4 linked regions of the Arabidopsis thaliana genome follow. The protein of the gene in region 1 interacts with the protein of each later gene in a pairwise test. Each region holds a gene or a part of one and is shown on either strand. Other genes may lie near its edges.

Region 1 (5,182 bases):
GATTGGAAAATCAGTTACCAATAATTAGAACCAAAGTCAAGATTGAGCTTGCATATAGGCTATAGCAAACATCACACGAAATATAAAATCTTGATTTGGACTAACAAATATTTCACGACAAATTAAGAAACCATATCGCAACATAAAAGAGGCGGCTCACCTTTTGAACGAACGATACGGACACAAGAGGAGCGGATAAATCCGACGACCGGGAATCATCAATGGATTGATAGTTTTCGATGTCCAAGACAACGGTTTGTGTCTGAGTAGTAATATCAGAAATCTCAGCCATTGATGGAACTATGGTGACTTTCCTCCAAGTTTATGGTTTTCTCATCTAAAAACTCAAATGGTCAACTCTACTTTGTATTCGTTATAACTTATAAGCAAATAATAAAGTTGACTTTTTTATTCTATAGTCTATACCGCATGTTGATAAATTCTTTTAGGTTCATAGTTGACTTCTTTATCTTTGTCACAAAACACACGACATGGTTTACACGATAGTTATAGACTTATAATTATATGTAAATGTAATCAGCTTTGATTAGAAATGATATTTCAAAACACTTAATTTATGTATAGATGTTAAGCTAAGATGAACAAAAAGATAAGCAAAATGTGTGTAGTTTGTGTTGTTATGTGAAGGAGATTAATTAATTAATTAAAGATTTTGGTACTCATAATATTTCGTTTGCTTAGAGGTACTGTGTTTGTATTCTCTCTCTGTTCTGCTCCCACCATGTCTTTGCATGCACTTCCCCAAACCGTTCCCGGCTGTTGATTAAACCACAAAACCATAGATTCCGGTTAGTCACGGTATGATTACCAACTTTCAAAATGTATATGATTAGCAAATGCTTAGTTTTAGACGTTTTGTTATACCTGAATCTGACTCGACGTAGCTCTCTAGTCCCATCTGATAATTGTCTGATGGTAATGTAAACACCAGGCTCGTCCTCTTCAATCCACTCAGCTTGCATTTCACTAGCATTGCTCATGGAAGGTGGATCATCTCTGGAAGAAGTTGTGGTTCTTGCTGCATCCATCGGTGGTCCTCCATGATAACTTCCTGGTCCATAGTTGCTAGAGCCGCCATAAAAGTGATGCGGGACAGATCCTGGAGGTCTGAAATTGTGTCTTGGAGTCCAGTCTTTGCTTTCTCTTGCTGAATCCATCTTTGAGTACGTTGAATCTCTCTGTGACTGAAATATAAACTTGTGTTACCCTCTCTGGCTTAAAAGACAAGATTCATATAGATCCTGTTCTGAAGAAAGACTAAGGGATCTAAGGATATATGTGTTTACCTGATCGTCGGATCTTGCAGGCGTTTGGAGAGCTTGGCGGTTAAATCTCTGTACATTGTAAAGCTCAACGATCTTGTCATAGTTCTCACCCCACCACCGTTGAGCTTGCCACTTATCAAACATCTCTCGGCTTTCAAAACAAGACACAAGTAATTGTTAGTTTTTATCTCATGTTTCAGCGTTGAATGCCATGAAGATATAGAGATTGTTTTGAGTAGTTCAAATACCTGAAACGGATCCGTTTGAGATCATTTCCTCCAGTGGGAAGAGAAGCAAATGTGATATGAACACCAGGTTCTACTTGAGCCATCCACTCTTTTGGTCCATCATCATCCAGTACAACATCACAAGACTGTGCAGAGATAGATTCTCGATCATTTCCATATATTGAAGTGAACTTTGATTCTAACCGTCCAGCTGGATGATGAGAGGAGTTTGTGAAGTCCCAAGCAGGAGTTGAACCAGCACTTCCACCCATGAAAGGGTATGGAACACCTTCAGAGGCATTGTCATAATCCGGAAATGATCTATGTCCTTTCTTCAAGGGACTACTAGAGGAACCAGTGCATGGCTTGCATTGTTTATAAGCACCAGAGAATTTCAAAGCCATATCTTTAATCTGCGTAACATATGCACCCAAAAAGACCGATTACATTCAAAAACTTTATCTTGTTTATCAAAGTAATCCATTTAAACACACAAGAATGTTGAGTATAACGGTACACAAACATTATAGGTAGTTTCAAGCCTTTTTAAGTATGACTAAGTATACTTTTTAGCCCAATGAAGTAAAAAGAGGTCTACTATGATCATTATTAAAAGAACAACAATAAAGCTATGAGATCTAACATAATTAAACATATGTATTAAAAAAAGAAACTTCATATTGTCTTCTTAGCCTGCACCACAATCATAACGGCCCACTATTTCTTTTGTTTATGTTCTTTTGATTTACTAAAATAGTTACCCCCACCCCAAAAAACCCTTTCTTTATTTCCTTGTCTAGGTAAGAATCCACTAAAGCTTATTTGAGAGAAAGGTATTTAGATCAAGCTTCACTAGCAATATTCATCAAAGTATGACCCCAATATAAGCTTTAATGATAGTCCTGATAATTCAACTGGCTACATAATTCAAGGATATGTACAATGAGGGTTTAAATTGTTTCAGTAGTTGTTTTTGACTTTCATATGTCTAGTCACATAGAGAGGAAGCAAACACTGACATGAAAACTATTAAAGAGAGATTGGTGAAAGATTCCAAAAAATGAAGTGAAGTTACCTCATTGTAAGATCTCTGTCCTAAACAACAGTAACCTCTATATACTAATGACTTCAAACTCTATTCTTTGGTAAAGAAAACGAATAATAGTCAAATATATGGACCCTTTTTAAGTCCTCTAAGATACGTTAATTGGGGTTTGTGTCTTTGTTTGTTTCACGAGCAAGGCAATTAGAGAAAAGCAATAAAATAAAGTGAAAGAAAATAAAAGCAGAAGAAGGATCAACAAAGAAAGAAGAGAGAGACCTGAATGGTTAGGCTTTTGACGGCTTCTTTAGTATTGGGAGTGGTGCCTCCACGCGCTCCATGTTCGACTTCTTCACCTCCGTCTGCTTTGGTACAAGCTATGCAAGAAAACATTTTTGGTCTCTTTTTTGAGTTGTTCTCTGCCTTTTCAGACCTATAAAACCAGAGAGTACTCTATTAAACATCATCACAAACCAAACCTCACACTACTCTACTCAAATCAATAATAATACTCTACAAAACAAAACAAAAAGTAATTAAGAACGTTAAAGTAGAGCTCACTCTCACAATCCGACATAAAACACGGGTAAAGCTTATGTAATCGTAGTACACATGTAAACATTAGTTACAAGTTAGGAACATATAGCTAGAAAAGGGTATTTGGATTTCAATTGTCGTTTTCTTATAACGCAAAACACAAACACAAAAGGACAAAGTTGTTGACATATCTCTAGTCAGGAAACAACTACTCATGTTATAACAAAAAGAAAATGTAACTTGACTGGTTAGTAGTTTAACTCATAAAGAACCAATGCTAAATATTTCAAGTACTAAACCCATTTTTTAAAAATGGAAAGAAAGAAAAACAGTTTACATTACACCATGGTCGGATATTTGTGTTACCTATTTTAAGAGCGAATAAAAAAAGATGGGTATAAATTAGTGAAGAGATCTTGATAAAGACAAAAGTGTTGAAAGAGATATTAAAACTACATGTTACACTTTTCTTTATTAAAAAAAAAAAGATGTTATAACTAGAAAAGAAAGAGAGCTTGGGGATCAGAAAATAGGACCCAGTTAAGAAATACTAATATTTTAAAAATTAATTGTGCAAATCTAAACACCTGAAAATTGTATAAACACATTATTTACAAGTAATAATATATTCTAAAGACAATCATAATAGAGACAAATGCTTCTTTATTCTACTTTAAATAGTTTTTTTTTTTTGTTAAAGAATAACTTAATACTTTTGTGTGCAGCAAAAGATCCTAAACCCATCCCTCAACTAACAAAAGTTCGAAGAATAATTACATTTTTTTTGCAGTAGCCGAAATTTATGACATTTTAAAAAAAAATCAGATTATTGTGATGACTCAAGAGAATCAAATAATATGTTCTGATTCCGCGTGTTTAACATCGATCAAGACAAATACATAAGTAAAGAAGAAAACAATTGGAAACACTAGAAAAGCAAAACAAAATTGAAAAATATAACAAGAAAATGGAATCTTGACAGTCACGTGTTAAGAAAAAGAAAAAGAGATTGGTTTCTATTTTTAGGGTTTTGAGTGATGATGGACCAATCTAAAGCGTGTCGCGACATGAAAACTAAAACTATATCCAAAGTAAAAGATAAAATCGCAAAAACAATCACGAATCACGAAAAAAACTCTGTTTTGATATCAAAAGCAAAGGCAAAAACTGATACAAAAACCATTATTATTCTCACCTCAGAAAACGACTTCTTCTTTTTTTCTTAATCATTACAATCCAAAAAATAAAATTTTGATTAGTGGGTTTTGTTTATTACTCACTCACCTTTGTGTTTCGATATCTGAGAAATGAAGCGATATGATCTGAGATTATTGAGATACTAGATAGCTAGCTTCTGCTTTATTTTCCTCTTGAAGGCTTTGGTCTATTTAGGAAGCCGGCACGAGTGGGGTTAGTTCTGAGTCTACGTCTATAAATAGACCATCAATGGCTGCAGAGAAGATTAGTGTAGTAGTGTTACAGACAGTAATTGTAATAAATGTGTTACAAAAGGACGAAAACAATTTATGATACTACAATTTTGCTTTTAATGTTTTTGAGAAAAAATTCGGCGTTTTCTCAAAAAAGTAAAAGAACAATAAATACCGGGAAACTTTTGAATGAAAATGAAAATTTATATTAATATTGAAGAATGAATACACATTTTTCGGTGAAGTTTCTGATTTGGGTTTAGTGAGAAAATTTTGGTATTAATCAGAAAAAAATGACGAATCGAATCTGTCTAAATCAAATCAATCAAGTGACAAATGTTTGCAGAAAAAGGTAACGCAAAAAAAAAAAAAAAAATCTCTGAATCTTTTTTTTTCCGGGAAAAAATAGTATTGAAAAGATCGATCGGAAAAAAACCAGTGACTAATCGTTTCTACAGAAGAACAGAAACAGAGCAACGAATCTCTCTGTTTTCTTATTTTCCCGAGAAAAATCTTCAAAAAAGAGAATTTTTATAAACTCACCTGAAATGTCTTCTTCTTCGAATCTGATTATGTAATAAACTTCACTGAGAAAATCTCCAAACTCAAAAACCCATAGAAATCTTCATTTTCCGGAAGAGAAATTTGGAAAAAATGAGA
Region 2 (2,978 bases), on another chromosome or scaffold:
TGCGCCACCATGCTAACGTGCAGCGCCCGCCCTGAACCTGCCTACTTCGCCTCCTTCACAACCTCTCCGGCGGATACACTTAGTCTGGTTAGTATTATATGCGTAAACACATGTTGAATGTTGATTCATGCGTAGTTATATATTTTCGTTTGTAATTTTATGTTTCATTGTGTTTCATCAGGAAATGATAGAATCAAAATTACATGAGGTGGCGGGAGAGAGCTGCGATAAAGAAGACGACGAAGATTGCTTGGTGAGAAGAACATTGACGGCTCATCTTGATTATATCTACACACATAAGAATAATCATCATTAATTAGCTGTAAAATTATTCTAACGTTAATTGTTGTGAATTTCAAATTATTCTCACATGTTAAACATGTGTATATAGAATCATTGATTAATTCAATTTATTCTTTTAATGAAAATATCAAATTATTCCCAATGTAGTTAGAATCCTTAATCAATCCAATTATGTTTTATTTTAATCAAAAGTCTTAACTCCCACAAATTATGTGTGTGTTACAGATAAATGACATAACAAATTAATTCTAGAATGCGAGTCTGAAAAATATATGATTACATCTTTCTGGTTTATTAAAAACAAACTAAAAATAAATACAAGAATGTTAAGCATTTCAATCAAAAGAAGCATTTTGCAAGAGTAGAAGCTACCATCTGGAAATATTTGCAGGATTTTGGAATGAGAAATCTCCCCAAGATGATGATGGATCAAACGCAAATGACGAAGAACTCTGCTTTGCTGCATCATCCGAAGTCTTGAGCGGTTTAGCCTGCACAGTCTCGTGCTCAGGTGCACCGGTTAGCCTCTGAACCAACACTTTGAAGTTTACTGGCTCGACTCGGTAGACATGAGGATGCATTGGATTCAAAGGTGATGATATTGCAGGCCTCTTCAAGGGCTTTGAAGGTTGTTTACGTGTCGAATGGAGCGAAGTTAGGTAATTTTTCGTTGCCCTTGTGGTGGTTTCTTGAGCGTTAAGGTAACTCTGAGACATAAATTGTTGTGATGTTGCTTCCATTGAGACTTGAGATGTCGCTTAAAATTCTTTGAATGTGAAAGTTATGTTCTTCTGATATTTATTGATCTTTGAATGTGAAAGTTATGTTCTTCTGATATATAATGATGGATGTGCAACATGTTCAACGAGGGTCAAGCCTTTGGTTTTTGACTCTTATTAGGGAATTGACTATTGAGAACATTGTTTGTTTTTCTTAGTTTTGTTTATGAGAATCATAAGTGAAAGGGGAATTTTCAACGTGTGTGTTCTTAATATTTTATTGATTTGATAGTTTTCGAAGTTTCTGATTAGGATTAAACTATTAAGAGGAAGATTCTTTAATCAAACTGAATTAATACTTTATCAAATATTATAATAAAGAAAGCTGTGGCTGTCCACGTGACGGTTTGATATTATCTGTAATGGTAAGAAGATTAAGTACTTATCAATAGCCTTCGGATTTGAATCTAATCGGATTCCTTGATCTTTTTATTTTATTTACTTTTATAACAAGTAATCTATTAGCCGTAACAAAAAAACAAACTAATCTATTATTTTGATTTCTAGTAATACAGTGCGCATAAGAGTCACGTCAGTCGGAACGTTAGAGAAAAAGGTAAATTTGAACGTTACATAACGGTAACTCTTTTGGTTTATTTCTTTAACTACGATGCTCTAGATATCTTTCAGATTTAAAACATTTGAGATATATATATATTTGGAAGAGGTCACATAAGATGATAATAACAAAGAAGCTTAACCTCTGTTCTCGTGGTTATTTGATTTGGTAGATTAGTCTTAAAATTGTCTTGAAATGGAAAATAAATTAGGCAGTCTTGAAAGAATCTACTTGAATTTAATTGTTCATATTGATATATAGGAAAAATAACAATCCTAGTTCTGTTTTATTAAGAAGATTAGTTTCTTTGAAAAACTAAAATATATGTCTGAAATGGATATTTGGGCATAAAGGTTTTTATTTTATTTTTAGATTAGTATATGATACTTGCATGATTATGTTGCACATAGTTTTCTGAAATTCAGAAGGCGTTGTAATGAAAATTTTGATTTGATTTTTGCAGGTTTTTTAGAAGAGCATAAACTCAACCGGAGTATGTAAAGAAAACGCCTTGATGATGAAAGTGATGATGTGCAGATGGAGTAGTGATGGAAGGAGAATGTCATAGAAGAGAGAAATCTAAATGCATCATTGGGATTGTGCCGTGCCATACTTTGATTGAGTGTGGAATGTGTATATATCAGATGTGTGACGAATGCTTGTAAAATATATTGATTCAAACTATATATCAAACTCAAGAATAAGAACAAGATTATGAATAAAAGACTCTCTCTTTTATTGCTTTAAGAAAATAACTCAAAACCTAAAAACACACAATCTTAATCTCTCAACTCATAAGTTTTGCAACACTCTTGCAACTCCTTTATATAAGAAAAGAACTAGACAATTTCCTAATCCTATTAGGAAAACACACATAAGTATTTAGGCAACTTCCTAAACACAAAGTCTAATTTTAATTTCCTTTTTGCTTGATTGCTTCTTCTTCAAGTAAGCTTCAAGCTTACTCCAACATTTTCCCCCTTAAGCTTGAAGCTACACTTTGTCATATCTTGAACTCCCACAAGATCTCTCATCTCTTTGAACTTGATTCTCCCGAGTGCCTTTGTTAGAATGTCGGCTCTCTGTTCGGTTCCGGGGACGTGCTCCACCTCAACTTGTTCATTCGCAACGCACTCACGAATAAAGTGATACCTCTTGTGAATGTGTTTGCTTCGTCCATGGAAAACCGGGTTTTTCGTGAGTGCTATAGCCGACTTGTTGTCAATTAATATCAACACTTGCTTACACGTTTTTCCAACAATCTCTTCAAGTAACTCTTGAAGCCAAACCGCTTGTTTTGCTGCCTCTGTAGCCGCCATAAACTCAGCTTCACAAGA
Region 3 (4,792 bases), 9.7 Mb from region 1:
TCTTTAACACCTCATCCTCTATCAGCAACACAACTTCATTCCTCCAAGGTTGTAGCTGACCTCTTTGTTTCTTGATTTGCTTGTTTTGCAGAATCGACAACTGGAAACGCGAACATCTACTGCAGTATATGCGAGAGAAGGTCAAGCCTACTGCAGCAAGTTAGTTTTATCCCATGTAGAGCTGAAGAGGATGATCCTCCCTGTCACATTTACATATGCCAAAGCATTGCAATCTAGTAGTTAAAAACACATTATGACCGACTTATCTTATCTTTGTCCAAGCTATTTGGTCCCTTGGTATCAACAGTCTGTATGTTCTGAACCTTTGCAATTCTCAGTGGTAATGTATTTAATCCAATGTTCTTATGAAAGGATAATCTTAATTCTGTGGTCAGCAGTTTGGCACTATTACAAGCACTGAAAGAAAGCTATATGTATTAGGGAAATCCACGATCATACCTTCAGCACTGAAAGAAAGCTTGCCTTGGGTCTTTAGATCTAGAATAATGTATTGGATGCTGTAGGTAAGAATCACACAAAGAAAAGCTTAAGATATCTGAGGCATTTTTTGGGATAAAGATTACTTTGCATTAAAATCATTTGGTTCCTGTTTGGGCATATTACACAAGTCCAAAGTAAGGGGATGCATTAAGCAGTCGAATAATAATAACAATCATTGCCAACCATGAGCTGTTCTAAACCAACATCATGTGCTCTCTGTCTATATATGTTACAGAGGCATCATCAGAAAAATAACAATTGGTCATTCTTTTTTAGGCTTAACACAAAGATCGTAGTAGGTGATTAGTCGAATTGGTCATCTAAAGGGTGATTGAGATGTGACACTGAAAGCTGGTGATAGAGGAGTCTTCACGGGCGCCCATATATCAGCGCCGTTGCTTTGAGCAACTCCAACTGTATTCTCCATTGGAACAAGACATAATCCTCTGTTTCTCAGGCTGTACTGCTCCAGCTCCTCCTGGTTACAAAAGACGGGAAAATCAGTCCGTGCAAGGTATTCAAGTTCCAAGTGAAGATCTGTCAGATGCAGAGTAGAACTAGTGAACTAAGTATAAATGAAGTTGAGATTCAAGATCATACTCACCTGCGTAGCATCAGGTACCGTTTGCAGATACGGAGCACTTAGCACCTGTACAAAAGAACATGGGAACTCAGATAAAGATGAATGAATCATGCTTGGTATTGAACTGCAGACCTTCACTTGTTCGTGAAGAAACTCTATGTAATGCATCGCGTCTAGAAGAACTGATGCAGTGTCGGTCTGTGAACATTAGAGAAAAGTATGAGCTGAGAGACAGATTCTTTTGATTTGCTTGCCAAAAAAAACAAAGTTACCTTTCCATAAGGGGAAACTATTTGTTGAAGAGCTGAAATACGTTCTCCAACCTTGTCCTTCCTCTCCTGTTTGCCATTAAGAGAACAAAGATGGACGGATCATTACCATGCAATTTGTTGTACCGAAGACTATTTCGACCGAGAAATCCATGAAAACTAGCTAGGATAAGCAAAACCTTGGAACTGAAAGAGAGATCAGACTTGTGGCGTTTGATACTGCTTTCTCCGAGAGAGCAGACATTCCGCTTATTCTCCATCATCATTCCAGCGTCTCTAGAGAATTCCATACCTTTTGTCAATAAGAAATGCGCTAAAGAGTCATCAACACAACATGACCCAAAATTTATACTAACAAGACATGTTACATAGGGTACAAGGTTACCATCCTAGAGCAAATTACAGACCAGAAAGATTACAAGATCTATGAAATGATGATCTTGTTTTGGACCAACCAATGCATTGGGAGACAGGATTTGGAAGAGAAATTTAGAATATTAAGCCAAGACAAAGGTATGGTCAACGAAGTAGGCTAGGATTTGTGGTCAGAGGCTAGGCCTCAAGTTCACATCAGCTTAAGCATTATTTTAAGATTTCTAAGCACAATTATAAGCTCAAACAAAAAGATTAAATATGTTATCATACCTTGCTTAGATTATTTGCATAAACTCATAAACAGAGAATAACATCATATATGCATGAATCAATAGAGTCCCTAAAAACAGGAGAAAACCCCCCCAAAAAACAAAACACATATAGAGAATCCTCCACGGATCAGAGGAGAACAAAAAGTCACTCTCAGTGAATTATTGAAGTTAATGTAAACAAGAACTCAACTTCTTGCATTACAATAACAAAACTATGAGTAGAATCTGGTAACGATATCTATCAAAGTTGGTAACTTTTTCAGTCACGGGGATTGTCGTATAAACGAAATCAAAACCTAATCCAACTGAAGGTTAGCAACAAGAAGAGGAGAGATAAGTAATTATGCTTGAAATTAGCTTTTAGCAGACTAAATTTGGTGTAATTAAGCCAAAAATGGAGTAAAGAAACAGAGCAAATAAAGAAAGAACGAATAAAGAGAGAGAGAAAGAGCTTACGGAGAGAGAGATAGGTAGAGTCACAAATTGGAAGAAGAGTCTAAGAAAAAGCTTTATTGTTCAAGAAGCCACCACCCACAACTTCTGAAAGTTCCAAATTTTGCTTCGTTTGAACCCTAAAAATAATTGCTTTTTTTTTTGTCCTTGAGCTTCTTTCTGACAACACAAAACCCGATAAGATACAGAAATGTCTCTCTCTCTCTTTTGAGTTTTCTGAGTCCAAAAGGCAAAACTCCAAACCAGTATTTAGTATGTATAAACGTCAGTCTTTTTCCTTTGTTTTGCGCTTAAAACGACGTCCAAGATCGTGCTGTGTGACACGATGAAGAGCTCAAGCAGAGTGAAAATAAGCGTCGTTTCTTATAAGGTCGTAAGATTAGAGCAGTCGCAGAAATCTCGGCGTGAGAAAAGGAAAGAGACAGAGAGAGAGAGAGAAGAAACTGTGTCTGTTTTTGTTTATGCTCCAAACAAATAGAAGGGGACTTATTTTTATGTCTGTCTTTTTCGTCTAGACTCTTTTTGGGTGAAGTAATGTCATTTACTTCTCATTTAATTATTTTCAAATTTATTTATTGATTTGTATAAATCTAGAGTTTTCAATTTTATCGACTATCAATATTTTTTGATAATTTTTTCCTTACGAGTGTAAAGGTTATAACAAGCTACAAATTTATTCAAATGGTCAAAATCAGAGCCACTCATGCCTGAAAATTGTAATTTTGCACACAAATTCTTGACCTCACATTATGTTCAGAAAATCTCCAGATGTTTTATTTATGTGCTCCAAAGACTTCTATGATACATTTTTTTTTGACAACCAATTAGATGTAGATTAATAGATACATAAGTATTTCTTAGTTTAGATAGAAAAAAATGGAACCTTAAGTGACGTAGTTAGGACATTTTGGAAGCATGCATGTTCTGCATATATTGCCCCCACACCATCTACTACAACTCCTGCAAACTTTAATAATAAAGATGAAACAGATGACTAAAGAGTAAAGACTAATCCCTAATTAGGCTTTAGTGTTCAGAATCAGTCTTTTGTCTTGTGACTAAATACATCATAATTTGACAGCTATTATACAACCCATTGAGAGAGTGAGAGGTCTTCGTAGTTAATATCAGTCCCAGGTAGAAGTTGCTTTTATTATTATTATTATAGATAGATAGAGAGAACTATTTTTTCATTTATTGATGATAGTGACATTGTAAGGTTATTTTATTTTGTCAACATATTTGACCAGCTCTCTGCACCATCAGTCTTTTTGTTTCTACTTTCCACTTTTTGCTTTTTTCGTCTTTGAATTTTTGTTCTCTTCTCTTTAAAATCAACCAAAATTTCAACTAGAGAGGTTAAAAACATGGGCTGTATATAAAATCCATCAATCTAATCAAATCAGTGATTGAAAGTGATGTATTATTTTCATAAATTAACACCTACAATAATGAGATTCTCTAGCGTCTACCATTAATAATGAGATTTTAATTAGATTGAACGAGTTCATTTCATTAGTATATCCGTTGTTTAACTACAAGAGAATAAATGAAGTGTTATGAAAATGATAATTTACTACTGTAAATTTTTATGTTTCAAGTAAGACAAATTTAATTTTTCTGACGTCAATGCAACTTCATAGAGAGACTCAGGCGTTGAGGAGACGCGCACGCGTGGTTTCGGACACCAAACTCGCTCTAAAAGTCACTCACGTGGAGCGGTTAGAAGAGTCACGTTTCGAAACGCAGACGCAGAGGTAGAGATTGCGTGTGTAAAAAATAGAGATTTGTGGGGACAGCGGCACAGACCGTGCGACGCAAAAGTCCGAAAGGAATCAGCGTTTTATTTAAAAGGTACGTTTGGGGTCCTACGCGGCTTCGGTCTTTGTCTTGTTGTCACCATCTTCTTGTCCTCTTTTTTCCTTGTGGCTACCGGATTAGGTACTTTTTCTTTGTTTTTTCCTATTTATTATGGATTCTTTTCTATTCCATTACATTATTACTTTGGGCTTTTAGATATAGCATTAGCAACACAAACTTTAAAAAGCCTTTCAAAAATTTAAATATATAAACACTCCCAAGTTTTCAACATCTTTCTGTTTCCAACCCCTTGACTTATTCTACACCCTTTGCGTTGTGACATCAATAGTTCTTGTTACTCTCTTCTCTTTGAAGACACTCATTCAATCCTCTAACAATATGTGGCATGTTTGGCCTATCAGAGACGTTCTGCGAAACAGAGGATAATGCAAGCTCCACAACTTTCCATACAGAGTTTACATCAAAATCTTTCGCCATCTTTGAATCTATAACATTGTTCACATCATTCGTAGACCTCA
Region 4 (5,495 bases), on another chromosome or scaffold:
CATTAGTTGACATTAACATTGTCCATATGCAATATGTAACTGCGTGATGAATGATAGCTTAGTTTTTTTTTTTGTGAAAAAATAATAGCTTAGTTTTTTTAGTTATGATTTGACCATATATATAGTTCGAGATTCTTCTGCCACTGATCATTTTAGTGAATCACATCGAGAAGTGGACCTTTGACAATAGTTAATCATTTCATCCATTTTAAAAGTATACAAAATCATTGCATTCAAAACAAATTGCAACTTGGCGCTAGCTACATATAATTAGTAAATGTCTTAATGATATAAAATGAATGAATTTAAGCGAGAAGAAAGCTTTGCAACGGCGCATGACCTGGTTTCTACCACGGTGCACCCACCAAACCATTCACCAACAACCAACAAAGACAATCCCCACGCACTATTCAAATCATTCAAACCCGGTGCCTTCTATAACAAAATAGGCTATAATGATGATCACATGACTAATCATGATCATTCATTTGGAAAGATATAATATATTATAGATCCTCTTAAGTTAAACGGCATATGATAATATAAACTTAACTTTTGATTTTGAAGTCCAGCATTACAAGCACACTCTCTAATCCACTATACCTCAACTTTTAATTCTATATAGTACACAAAAAAAGCAGACTTCATTTATTTGATCTACAACTTTTTTTAACTATTCAGTCATTAATTTGGAGTTTTTGAAGATTACAAAAAGGAAGAAGAAGATAAAAATGCTAAAAGACCAATTAATTCCTTCTAATGTAGGGTCTCAATCTCTCTGCAATACAAAAGGCCACACCCGTCGGCTACTGCTTGTCGCTATCATGCACCTATGTGGGTCTTTTTCTGAATAATCATACTTCTATTATTTATACCTTACTAAATTATTGCTTATCCTCCTTATATAAATTATGTACCATTATATATTCAAAAATCATTGAAATCGAATTTTCGAAAAAAAGGGAAATTAAAATTAAAATCTGGCGTTTTCCAAGCCGTGCATATCGCTGACTCGATTTAAATGCTTCCTCATAATAGCCACTTTAGCTAATTTCTCGGCGGCTCTCCAAGCCGAAGTAGGGGTAAGCTGCTCCGGTTTATCTTCAGTTCGGTTTAATATACTATTTCTCGGTTTAATCCGGCTAAGTTCATTTAGCTCAACCTCCAAACTCCTTAAACTATCATCCGAATGAGACGCATTGGACCGAGCCGTCGTTAGAACCTGATACGCTCCGGATAAATCCTCACGCTCGATAAGCCGGCGTGAATCCGCTACAGCGCGGCACATGGAGTGTAAATTTCTCAGCCGTTCGATGCTTGAAGATACATATCTGACGGATTGTGGCCGTGGGATCAAAAATCGTTTTTCTTTAGGACATGTCATTGGCTGATGTGTCATTTGGTCAACGATCGACGACTGTACGGACATTACTTGGTGGGAACCACTCGACGAAGTCGGCACTTTGAGCTCAACGAGAAACTCTCTCTCCTCCTCCGCAAACAAATCTCCGACTTGGATGACAGAACCGGATCCGAAATTCTCGAGTCGACCGGTTAAAGAGTAAACCGATGAAATCTCAGTCAAATGAGATCCGTTGACCAAACTGAGATTTAGCTTCACGTTATGGAGAGTCACGTTGAGCAACGAAGCGATTCTTTCGGTGAACGCGTCTCGTAGCGGCGCGTGAAGCAACGCTCCAGGAGAAGCAATGTAAACGGAATGAACCGGGATCTCCGGACGAGAGAAACGCGTGGTAGACACGACGAACGGAATGCGCGTTGCGTTTAGTTTAGCTTTCAAAACTGCCTCCGGTTGATCTTGACCGTCCGATAAAACAAAGATGCTCGTTGACGGATTCTTCTCCCGCCGATCTTCAACGACTTTAACCGCTTTCTTCAACGCGTCGTTAACGCTCATTCCAACTCCGCCGGTGGTTTCCATTCCGCCGAGTGCGTCGACCATTCGCCGCGCCGATCGTCTTCCTTTCGCCGTCATTCGTCGTAACGGCATTAACCGTTTTGACCCCGTCGAGAAAACGACGATCGATAAACGATCCATTTCTCGGAGAAGAGAGATCACCGATCTCATCGCGTGTTTAACCGTTTGCAAATTAGCACCGCCGTTGCTTAAATCGAGAACCGTTACCAGATCTATCGATGGTCTTCGCGCCTTAATCGCATCGGTGATGGACGACGGCGACGGAGACGCTTTTAGTTTCATGATGACGACGTGTGTCTCCTTCTTTTTCCCGGTTTCCACAACGGCAGATTCCGGCAGCAACTTAACCTCCAGATTTCCTGAGATTGAAGGAACCATATCAGACGTAATCGAAGAATCTCGGAAGAATCCGGGGAAGTCATCGTCATCTTCAACGTCGTCGTTTTCGTCTGATTCATGTATAGTGTTGATCTGAGCAAGAGAAACCGGCGAATAAGCTAACGGCTCATCGTCGTTGTACACTCTCAGTGACTTCCCCGTTTTGATCTCTCGGATCTCGGGTCGTCTAATCGGGTCGGATCCGAAGTTATTATTAACAGCCGGATAATTCGACTTTGGCGCGTGATTCCATGCGGCAGAGCAAAACGGACAACGCTTGTCTTCTAATCCATTGACGCAAGAAAGGTGAAACGAATGTGAACACTCCGCCGTGAAAATTGCCGCCGTCGAGTTGCTTTGATTTGAATTCACTCTCTGCAAACAAATCGCACATCTACTACTATTACTCTGCATCCACACACACACAAAACGGAGCTTTAGATTATGTCTTTCAAATTAAGAACTTGATTGAATCAAAAGTAACTACCTTGTTGAGAAGAAGCGTGGCACGGAGGAGAGAGACGCCGCCGCCGCCTTGAGAGGAAGAAGAAGATGATGATTTAGGAGAAGAAGGGTTAGAGAAAAACTTGGGACTTGAGCTGTTACTAGTCCTTGGAGTAGCATTGCTCGTAGTCCTGCAATGGAGTTTGGGACTAGTTGGAAGAGATGGGATAGTGACTGATGTGGAAGCTGAGGAGCGGCATCCAGTGCCGCTTCCGCCGCGTGATCGGAGACGAGGAGTTGAAGGGTTGGATAAAAAACCAAACTTTGATCGGAATCTTGGTGTGGGAATTGGAGGATCAGTAGTGTGTAATGATGAATGTTGTTGAGGTTTATCTTGATTACTTGAAACGGAAGTGCAAAACGCTTTTCTCCAACCAAACACCATTTCCTGTGAGAAAGAAATAAGAAGAGAAGCTCTCTTTTTTTCTATATTATTCTTCTTCTTCTTCTTCTTCTATTTGTGGAAGTAATTATAGAGAAGAAGAAGAAGGACTTTGGGCATAATGGATCATAAGGAAGATGGAGAAATTAAATACTAAGATAAAGACTATAGAGAGATTTCTTTTTCTTTAGTGATGTTTCGATAAAGACATTTTTTTTTATGTTATTTTAAGTTGTAGGAATATTATAAGGTAAAAATTGTGACTTTTATGCGTGTGAATTGGCTTTTGTTTCCATTTGCATGTAATTGTTTTGCCTCGAAGAAAATAATCACTGATCCGTTAAGTCCTTCTTTTTTTTGGGTCAATTTTGCTATTTTTTTTACATATTTCAAGTGTTGTTTCATTGGGATGGACGATAAAGTTAAAAGTCAACGGTAATAACCGACCATATGCAAAATGAGATTTCAAATAACTTGAGACGCGGAGATCTTTGTTTTCCATTTGCATGTAAAATCTTTCTTTTCAAAATATTAAACAGTTTATTAGATTGTCTAATGTGGATTCCTCTTGAATGTTCCACAATGTGGTTCGATTATATAAATCATTTCCAATCTTATCGGATTCTTCGAAATGCAGATTGTGATGGAGTGTAAGGTCAAACATGTGGGCACGTGACGTTACAGTCTGAGCAATAAACGGTAAGCTTATTTTCCTTACGAAATATAAATGATACTAAAACACGTTGTATTCGAGTTATCTTCATGATTGTGAATTGAGTTGTATATTTAATTGATAGTTGCTTACGTAATTACATACTGGCTGGAGCGAGGAATTTAACCTAAAGTTTTGGGTTTGGAATTTTGTAAAAGGTCTTTGATGGAGAAAGGTCGAAAAGTTTTTTTTTTTCATTTATTTACCAACAAAATGATTTATAATATATGGTGACGACAAGAGCTAATGATATGACATAAAGATTAGACTGGTCCAGGTCCAGCAAATTTTGAATTCTTCTTGCTATTGCAAAAAAATTGATGGTTTTGGTCTGATTTTGATTTCGACACTTCTATTATTTTGATTTGACAACCTTTTAGATTGGCTGATCAAGTGCTCGAGATAATTAGTGTCCTAAATCAAAGGTATTAACTCCAAAATACAAATTACTGCAATTTGTGGCCTCTAGTATCTTGCAGTTATGCTGAAGAGCCACATGAATGAATGAAACAATAAATGGGTGGGTACATATATGATAAGGGGGCTGCTAAACAAAATTGTAGTTAAGCATTTGTAAATGGTTTGGTAGGTTTTTTAAGTGGCTGCCATTGTAGAGACAACACATGACTTCGTGCGTGCATGCCATGGAATCATTGATTATCAACCAAAAAATGAAAATATTAGTTAGTTAATCTTGTTAAGAATGTAATGACTTATATTATACGAATAGCTTTACACAAGTATATATACAAGTACAGAGGAGGTTACACTAGGGTTGTACAAATATAGAATGTTCCATAAAGGAGACAGAGGAATATTATGATATTAAAGAGAGATGATCCTATGTATCCTTAACACGCCCCCTCAAGATGGAGGGGCTATGCACACTCCAATCTTGTCTCGAAGTTCCGTGAAGTGATTTCGAGGAAGCGGTTTTGTTAATGCATCAGCGAGTTGGTCTCTAGTGTTGACGTGAGCCACACGAAGAATGCCTTGCTGAACTTGTCCACGAATAAAGTGATAGTCTATGGCTATGTGCTTCATCCTGGAATGGAAAACCGGGTTTGCGCAAAGGAAAGTAGCACCCACATTATCACAATAGACCACAGGCGGTTTGGGAAGTGTGATCCCAAGCTCCGTGAGAAGGCTGCATATCCACTGGATTTCACAAGCAGTATTTGCCACCGATCGATATTCAGCTTCTGTTGAAGACCTTGCAACGCTCTTTTGTTTCTTGGCAGTCCATGAGATTGGATTTTTCCCGAGGTAAACGATGTAAGCATTTGTTGAAACGCAATCTTCTGAGTCTCCGGCCCAATCTGCATCTGAAAAGGCATGAAGGGAGAGCTCGTTTTGAGCAGCAAAGAAAATGTCGTGAGTCGTAGTTCCAGCCAAATATCTAAGAACTCGTTTTGCAGCTTGCCAATGATCATTGGTTGGTCTGTGCATAAACTGAGAGAGGCGGTTTACAGCATATGCAATATCAAGTCTTGTGAATGCAAGATACTGCAAACTTCCAACAAGCTTTCTATACTCAGTAGGGTCGGAGAGAGTTATACCAGACATGAGTGTGAGTTTAG

The links.
Region 2: the proteins of BRX (region 1) and AT4G37710 interact in binary tests that used the Arabidopsis thaliana proteins (3 or more experiments, as listed by UniProt).
Region 3: the proteins of BRX (region 1) and AT1G05710 interact in binary tests that used the Arabidopsis thaliana proteins (3 or more experiments, as listed by UniProt).
Region 4: the proteins of BRX (region 1) and WAVH2 interact in binary tests that used the Arabidopsis thaliana proteins (3 or more experiments, as listed by UniProt).

What each region holds. Positions count from the first base shown.
Region 1 is NC_003070.9:11,445,570-11,450,751, reverse strand, and holds BRX (DZC (Disease resistance/zinc finger/chromosome condensation-like region) domain containing protein), read right to left. Parts: upstream 3,466-5,182; 5' UTR 3,432-3,465; coding exon 3,430-3,431; intron 2,989-3,429; coding exon 2,835-2,988; intron 1,927-2,834; coding exon 1,535-1,926; intron 1,438-1,534; coding exon 1,308-1,437; intron 1,206-1,307; coding exon 886-1,205; intron 778-885; coding exon 699-777; 3' UTR 560-698; downstream 1-559. Other genes in the region: NIP3;1 (NOD26-like intrinsic protein 3;1), read right to left, coding at 161-292. UniProt on the Arabidopsis thaliana protein: Acts as a regulator of cell proliferation and elongation in the root and shoot. Regulates roots architecture and primary root protophloem differentiation.
Region 2 is NC_003075.7:17,716,299-17,719,276, reverse strand, and holds AT4G37710 (VQ motif-containing protein), read right to left. Parts: upstream 1,150-2,978; 5' UTR 1,044-1,149; coding exon 672-1,043; 3' UTR 506-671; downstream 1-505. Other genes in the region: PSK6 (phytosulfokine 6 precursor), read left to right, coding at 1-87, 182-316. UniProt on the Arabidopsis thaliana protein: May function as negative regulator of flowering transition.
Region 3 is NC_003070.9:1,713,049-1,717,840, reverse strand, and holds AT1G05710 (basic helix-loop-helix (bHLH) DNA-binding superfamily protein), read right to left. Parts: upstream 3,024-4,792; 5' UTR 2,457-3,023; exon of another isoform or gene 1,646-2,456; 5' UTR 1,644-1,645; coding exon 1,533-1,643; intron 1,423-1,532; coding exon 1,357-1,422; intron 1,283-1,356; coding exon 1,106-1,282; intron 980-1,105; coding exon 818-979; 3' UTR 551-817; downstream 1-550. Other genes in the region: AT1G05720 (selenoprotein family protein), read left to right, coding at 92-164; AT1G05700 (Leucine-rich repeat transmembrane protein kinase protein), read right to left, coding at 4,596-4,792.
Region 4 is NC_003076.8:26,259,183-26,264,677, reverse strand, and holds WAVH2 (Zinc finger (C3HC4-type RING finger) family protein), read right to left. Parts: upstream 3,543-5,495; 5' UTR 3,207-3,542; coding exon 2,805-3,206; intron 2,726-2,804; coding exon 974-2,725; 3' UTR 508-973; downstream 1-507. UniProt on the Arabidopsis thaliana protein: Probable E3 ubiquitin-protein ligase involved in the regulation of root growth. Acts as a positive regulator of root gravitropism.